Linked DNA regions of Stegostoma tigrinum. Each later gene encodes a partner of the first gene's protein in a complex. Links are inferred from orthologs where the notes say so. Each region holds a gene or a part of one and is shown in the gene's direction. Other genes may lie near its edges.

Evidence for each region.
Region 2: coq4 (region 1) and coq7 share a complex: the UniProt entries of both Homo sapiens proteins name them as parts of the multi-subunit COQ enzyme complex. The link is inferred for Stegostoma tigrinum from reciprocal best matches to the Homo sapiens genes COQ4 and COQ7.

What each region holds. Positions count from the first base shown.
Region 1 is NC_081382.1:2,449,762-2,453,680, reverse strand, and holds the start of coq4 (ubiquinone biosynthesis protein COQ4 homolog, mitochondrial), read left to right. Parts: upstream 1-1,406; 5' UTR 1,407-1,503; coding exon 1,504-1,642; intron 1,643-1,717; coding exon 1,718-1,873; intron 1,874-3,073; coding exon 3,074-3,170; intron 3,171-3,919. UniProt on the Homo sapiens protein: Lyase that catalyzes the C1-decarboxylation of 4-hydroxy-3-methoxy-5-(all-trans-decaprenyl)benzoic acid into 2-methoxy-6-(all-trans-decaprenyl)phenol during ubiquinone biosynthesis.
Region 2 is NC_081376.1:54,706,871-54,710,789, reverse strand, and holds the start of coq7 (5-demethoxyubiquinone hydroxylase, mitochondrial), read left to right. Parts: upstream 1-897; 5' UTR 898-951; coding exon 952-1,218; intron 1,219-3,352; coding exon 3,353-3,467; intron 3,468-3,919. UniProt on the Homo sapiens protein: Catalyzes the hydroxylation of the 5-methoxy-2-methyl-3-(all-trans-polyprenyl)benzoquinone at the C6 position and participates in the biosynthesis of ubiquinone.

The sequences.
Region 1 (3,919 bases):
ATACTCAACTCCTGTCTGTCCACACACTTCTCGTTGAGGATCATGGGCAAGTGAATAAAACCGAATGCCTTCCTCAAAACAATTAATGGCCCCCAATCGAAATGTTGTTGTAGTTGTCCACAGAACATGGTGCTACAACAAATACCTGCAAAAGTAATTGATGGTGGAGAATCGATCTGATACTTGAAATAAAATTAGAAGGAGAAATCAAGTTAAGATGTCAGTGTCCACGTTGGAACTGGTGAAAGGACATCAGCCTGAAAAATTGACTTTGTCTATTCATAGATGCTGCCAGACCTGCCACCCAGCATTTCTGTAGTTTTTTACATATATCTCTATACAGTTATACATGTATACATACTAACAGGCATAGATAATGACATTGTTGTCTGCTGTGCAAAATTAATGCAGGCATTACTATTTCCAAATAAATTCTGGCCTCCATTCTCCCCTCTATCATCCTAATTTGCTCAGAGCCCTATTTCTCCCATTACACCATGCTTGCTGTTCTACATTGCTTGAGTTATTGCAGTATTCTCATTTTAACATTCTTGCACATATCTATGTGTTTAGTTATCTCTGTGGCCTCAATCTTCTTCGGTTCTATAATCCTCAGATATTTGCGCTCTCATAAAACTGCTCTCCTCTGTATCCCTGATTACACTCATTGTTATTGTTTTAATTACTTTGGAAACCCATGTGAAGAGCTTTGTTTTACATGAAATGTGTTGTCTAAGTACAAGTTGATGATTGCCAATGAAGTGAACACAACTCAGGCTGGGCAGCTCCAAGGATCTAGGCCTGAAACGTCAGCTTTTGTGCTCCTAAGATGCTGCTTGGCCTGCTGTGTTCATCCAGCTTCACACTTTGTTATCTCTGTACTATTGGTTGAAACTCCTCTCCTGTTGTCTATTCAACGTACATTGACTTTATTGAGAGATAATGGGAACTGCATATGCTAGATAATCGGAGATAACAAAGTGTGGGGCTGGATGAACACAGCAGGCCAAACAGCATCAGAGGAGCAGGAAAGCTGACGTTTCGGGCCGACACCATTCATCAGAAATGGGGGTTCTGAAACAAATAGGGAGAGAGGGGGAGGTGGACCGAAGATGGACAGAGGAGGGTAATTTCTTCAGGGTAGGCATCCTTAGAAGAGGCTTTGCAGTGGATTGTTGACAGTTTCTGTTTTATTTGCAAATTTGAGTTGGAACATTAGTTTGCCTGAAATAACCTATGCAAGTGATCCTATGGTTGAGAGGGTCAGGACTGTACGGGGTTCTCAGATTAAAAACACCAGCTCAATGGACATGGATAGTTGGTAATGACAGAGGCATTGGCAGAGCTGAGACCTGGACATTGTTGCGCCTGCTCTTTGACCCAGACACTCTCCCTGCCCCGTCCCCTGACGTTGCGCCTGCGCAGTGAGGAGGCGGCGGTGCTGGAGTACGAGCGGTGCCGTTGTTAGGGAGCTGCCGCTGCTTGTGGCTCTGTTGTGGGACGATGCTGAGGAGTAGGGCCCGGGGCCTGGCCCTGAATCTGTCCCGGGGCCTGCACGGACTGTCAGGCCGCGGCGGGAGGCTCAGCCCGGGCTTGCGGCTGGCATCAGGTTCGGTGCGGACTGCAGCCACGGTCTCAGCCGGTAAGTGATCCCGGGCCCTGAGCTGGGGCGGCGGTAGGACTGAGGGCCGCTCTCACCGGGTTTGTACTTTTTTAGGTCTCGGGGAGGGAGTGAGTCCAGAGGCAGGCGCCCGGGAGCAGGAGGCCGTCCACAGCCGCCGATATCAAAGCCACATCCCCAGCAGCCGGCTCCAGAAACTGCTGCTGGCCTCAGGATCCGCTCTCATGGCCTTGTACAACCCGTACCGGCACGGTAAGATCCCACCGACAGCAACACACTCATATCCTGGACCTTATCCGTCACCCTGGGGAGGGTCAAGGTCACCCTGGATCAACTGAGCGGGATCAGAGTTGTCCTAGATTCACTAGGAAGGGTCAGGGGCACATTGAGGAGGTTCAGTGTCACACTGGAGCCACTGGGGATGATCAGAATCAAACTGGATTCACTGCACTGTCAGCCTGTGTTTTTGTATTCAAGCCCCGGAGTTAATCCTAGCTGAAAGGACTGCTGTCTTGTAGTTTAATTGTGTAGCATTTATGACGTGAAGCCAGTTTGTGATTTGATTTGATTTGATTTATTGTCATGTGTACCTTAGTACAGTCAAAAGCTATGTTTACAAGCAGTACAGGTAGATCATAGTAAGCAAGGATGTGCAGATCATAAGAGTGAAAAAAAAATTGGACAGAGGCATACAGGCACAGGGTGAGTGCTAGGCAACATCAACCTTAACAAGATAAACATTATGTGAAGTTGGAGAGGTCCGCTCACCAGTCTTAATAACATCTGGGAAGAAGCTGTTCTTGAATCTGCTGGTGTGTGTTCAAGCTTCTGCATCTTCTGCCTGATGGAAGAGGTTAGAGAGCACTGATGGGGTGGGATCGGTCTTTGATGTTGGCTGCGTTTCTGCGGCAACGAGTTGTGTAGATGGAGTCCATGGATGGAAGGTTGGCTTCAGTCATGGTCGGGGCTGTGCACACCACCTTCTGTAGTTTCTTACAGTTCTGGGCGAAGCAGTTGCCGTAGCAGGCCGTTATACACGGGACAGTAAGCTTTCAATGGGGCATCTCTGGAAGTTGGTGAGGGACCTTATGGACGTGCCAACTTTCCTGAGCCACATGAGGAAGAAAAGACATTGTTGTGCCTTCTTGACTGTTGCATCTACATAGGAAGTCCAGGACAGATTGTCGGTTATCATCACTCCTAGGAACTTGACACTCCCAACCCTGTCAATCCCAGTTCCGTTGATGTAGATGCAGAGGGGTGTCCTTTTTTTCTGAAGTCAATGATCAGTTCTTTGGTTTTGCCAACAGTGAGAGAGAGATTGTTCTCATTGCACCACGTAACAAAGCCCTCCGTCTCTTTTCTGTATTCTGCCTCGTCATTGTTTGATATCCATCCTGCCATGGTCTGGGCCTTTTTACTCAAATTTGCTCTCTTTTCTTCTTGTTGCAGATATGGTGGCTGTACTGGGAGAAACAACAGGGCTACTGGCAATCCAAAAGCTGCGAGACAGGATGCAAAACCATCCTGAGGGATTCCAGATTCTGCAGTAAGTGCAGCTGCAGTATTCATGCTGGAGTAGAGGCAGTGATAACTGGTAAAAGGAGCCGGTTGCTTGAATTTGATCTTGATAAAGTAAAAAGGAGGATAGCTGAAATAAAGGCAGAAGATGCTGTGAATACAGGGGCAGAGGGCGTGACACTGTGGGCAGAGATAAAGGGGTTAGAGGGTGGGTCACTGGAGGTGGCAGTGGTGTGGGGTAATGTCACCAAGCCAGTAATTCAGAGCTCCAGTCTCATGCTCTTAGAATATGGGTTCAAATCTCTACCGTGGCAAATGTTGAAATCTGAATTTATTACAGTCTTGAATTGAGTGACAGTCTAATGGTGACGATATAGTTGCTGGGCTGAAAAATCTGTCTGGCTCTTTAATGTCCTTTAGGGAAGGAAATCTATCATACTTATCTGATCTGGCCCACGTGACTCCAGACTCTCAGCAATATTACCATCTAGCCAAGAAGCAAACCTAGTTCAGTGGAGAGTGCACAAAGCCTGGACCAGCACCAGGCATACCTAAAAGAGAGTTGTCGGCCTGGTGAAACTATCAAACAGGACTGCATGCATGCCAAACAGCAGTGATAGACAAAGCTTAGCGATTCCACAACTGATGGATTAGATCTAAGCTCTGCAGTCCTGCCACATTCAGTCGGGAATGGTGGTGGACAATTTAACAACTCACTGGAGGAGAAGTCTTCACAAATTTTCCAAACTTCAACGTGGAAGGGCCCAGCACATCAGA
Region 2 (3,919 bases), on another chromosome or scaffold:
GTGTGTCAAAATTTGCAGGTGACACTAAGGTGAGTGGTTGAGCAAAGTGTGCAGTAGACACTGGAAGTCTACAAAGGAGTATATAGTCTGAGTGAGTGGGCAAAGGTCTGGTAGATGGAGTAGCTGTGCAAAGGGACTTGAGTGTCCTTGTGCACAAATTGCTGAAGGCGGGATTGCAGGTGCAGCAGACAATTAAAAAGGCAAATGGAATTTTGACTGCCTTTGCTGAAGGGATGGAGTTTAAAAACAGGGAGGCAATGCTGCAGCTGTATAGGGTCCTGGTGAGGCCACACCTGGAGTACTGTGTGCAGTTTTGGTCTCCTTACTTGAGGAGAGATATATAGCACTGGGGGAGGTGCAGAAGAGATTCACTCAGTTGATTCCAGAGTTGAGAGGGTTGGATTATGAGGAAAGACTGAATAGACTGGGATTATGCTCATTGGAATTCAGAAGAATGAGGGGAGATCTTACAGAAACATATAAGATTATGAAGTGATAATGGGAACTGCAGATGCTGGGGAATCCAAGATAATGAAATGTGGAGCTGGATGAACACAGCAGGCCCAGCAGCATCTCAGGAGCACAAAAGCTGACGTTTCGGGCCTAGACCCTTCACACTTTATTATCTTGGATTCTCCAGCAACTGCAGTTCCCATTATCTCTGACCAAGCAGCATGTTTCCTGCTCCTCTGATGCTGCTTGTCCTGCTGTGTTCATCCAGCTCTCCACCTTGTTACCTGGCGTTCTCCAGCATTTGCAGTTCCCATTGCCTATGAGGCGTGGTCCCGGTGATGGGGCGGGGCTCGACCATGTGGGACGTTTCCCGGTGAGGGGGCGGGGCCTAGCTGTGGGGGCGTGGTCGCCGTGGTGGGGTGGGGTCCTGCTGAAGGGGCGGGGCTCAGTGTGGCTGTCTCCCCGCCCCCTTTCGTTCAGCCCGGGGCGGCCTGCGGGATGGCGAAGACCGGAGCCTGCGTTCGGCTTGGAGTGTCCGCCCTCTGCTCGCCGTCGCTACTGAGGAATGCCAGGCCTCCCCTGCAGCCCCTCCAGCCGAGTCCCTGGCCTGGGCTGAAGGCCGCTAGGGCCCTGAGCGGCTCGGCCGAGAGGGCGATGCTGGGCCGGATCATCCGAGTGGATCACGCCGGGGAGTACGGGGCTAACCGCATCTATGCCGGGCAGATGGCCGTGCTGGGCCGCAGCCCCGTGGGGCCTATCATCCAGGTATTTACCACAGAGTGTGAGAGAAATGCTGTAGGTTCCTGGCAGACTGGCATTGACAATAACCCGTGTTAGCAGCTAAATGTTTACACATCATTTAGTCAGCAACCTCCCTCTACATTTCACAGGAATTTACTTAGAGCAAATCACATCTTCTTTTAAACTGAATTGCTGCATCTGAAACTGCTTTACAAAAGAATTTTCAAAAGTCTGTCCTTGTATGATCTTTCCAAGGCCCCGTTCTCTCCCAGAGTCGATGAAGCAGCCAATGCGCTACGTTTACACCACCCCACAGGTTGGACCTGAAGGAGAGGAACACTCTTCACTTTGTAATATGGAACCGAAGACTCTGGGTGCCATAGAAACTACAGGCAGCACTGGGAATGTGGTGGTGAAATTTTGCTGTGACAGCCACTTGCTTTTATTTGTACAAATGAGGTGCAGAAGTAAGATATTTGGCCCCTCAAGGTTGCTGCACTAACCCTGGATTACCTTAGAATCACTTTCCCAACAAGAATCTAACTTCTTCCACCTTACAAATGTACAATGACTCTGTCTTCTGGAGCAGAAATTTCCAAAGTTGCACAAACTCCTCTCTCTGTCATAAAAGGGTGACCCCTAATTCGAAACAGCACTCCCTGCTTCTGCACTGACCCACAAGATCAAACATCATTTCCTCACCCACTTTGTCAAGACCTGTCAGTCTTATACGCTTTGATTGAATTCCCTTCGGCCTTCTAAACTCCAGTGAAAATAACTCCAGCCTGTCCAAACTTTTGGCATTAAAAAATCTGCTCATTCCAACTATCAATCTAATAAAGGTTCAACAAACCCTCTCCAAAACATTTACATACTTCCTTATGAGGAAGACCAAAACTGCACTCAGTATTTGAAATATGGTCTCACCAATGTCCTGTATAACTGAAGCATTAACATCTTTAATTTTCCATCTATTTCCTGTGGTGATAAATTTCAATATCCAATTTATTTTCCTGATTAAATGCTGTAATTGCAAATTAATTTTCTCTGATTCATGCACTTGAAGACCCTCTTCTACTCAGAATTCTGCAGTTGTTTCCCATTCATGTCATGCTGTGCTATTTTATTCCTCCTGCCAAAGTGAAACAACTTTCTCTCAGATTTTTGACCTCACTCAACTTGTTTACATCAGCCTGTATCCTTGTTATATCATCTTCACTGTATTCTTTCCTACCTGTCTTTGTCATCAATTTTAGCCAATCCCCTCAATGAAGTAATTGACATCAATTTTTTTAAAAAAACTGAGGTCGCAGCGCAGACCCTTGTGGGATCGCATGTGTTGCCGATCTGAAAAAAAGAATTTATGCATCCTGTCTGTTTTCTGCCAGCTGGCCAATTTTCTATCCATACCAATATGTTACTTCCTATACCATGAGATCCTCCTTTGTGCAAAATCTTTTGTATAGAATGTTATCAGATGCTCTCAAGAAAATCAAGTATATCAGTAGGACTCCCCTTGACCATGGAACATGTTACTGCTTCAGAGAATTCCAGTAAAACTATTAAGATTTTTCCTGATTACATTGAATTTTTCCATTTGCCCAGTTTTAACCTCCTAAATGATCAATTCTAATAGCTTCCTCTTTACAGACATCAAATTTACTGGCCTACTTTTTTCTGTTTTCTACCTCCCTTCTCGAATAGAAGGTTTATATTTTCACTTTCCCGTCCAACTGAAGTTACCTCATTGGTCATCTGTTTTATTAAACTAGGACGAAGTATTATATTGATTATGACTAGTTTTGTCACTAAATTAAAGATAGATTTCTCATTGATTTCTACAATAACAGAAAATCTTACTATTTCTGGGAAAGGAAAAGTTGAAATGTGAAGAAAAAATGTTTGTTTAAAATACACAGTAGGGACTTGCTCTAAAACCACAAAATATAGGAGCAGAATTAGGCGATTCAGCCCATCAAGTCCAGTCCACCATTCGATCATGGCTAATACACTTCTCAAGCTCATTCTCCTGTCTTTTCCCCATAATCCCTGATCCCTTTATTAATCAATAAACATCCTAATGGACAGCAGATTAATGTGCTCGATAATTGATATCAATGGTGCAGTAAATTAACTGAAATTAATATTCATGTTTCAGCAAATGTGGGATCAAGAAAAGGAACATCTGGAGAAATTTAATGAATTGATAGTTGATCACAGAGTTCGGCCGACGCTTCTAATGCCTTTCTGGAATGTTGCAGGATTCGTGTTGGGTAAACATCCATACGTATTAAATCTCTATCCTCAATTAATTCTTAAAGGTAGCCAGCACAGCTGCGTGAAAGATACACAGCATCCACAGATCTTTTGGTTTTTTATTCAGTAAAAGACAGATTAAGCTCAAATAGTCTCATTCAATTTCAGGGTGGGTTGGAGGAACAGAGTAGGGAAGTTAATGCAACTTTATACGGTGTGGGGTGAGACCACATCTGGAGTGCTGTGAGCAGTTTTGGACCCTTTATGTAAGGAAGGATATTGTTTCATTGGAGACAGTTCAGAGAAGGTTCAGTAGGATGATCTCTGGTATGGGGGGATGACAAGGTGTAGAGCTGGATGAACACAGCAGGCCAAGCAGCATCAGAGGAGCAGGAAAGCTGACGTTTCAGGCCTAGACTCTCCTTCAGAAGTGGGGGAGTGGAAGGGGTTTCTGAAATAAATAGGGAGA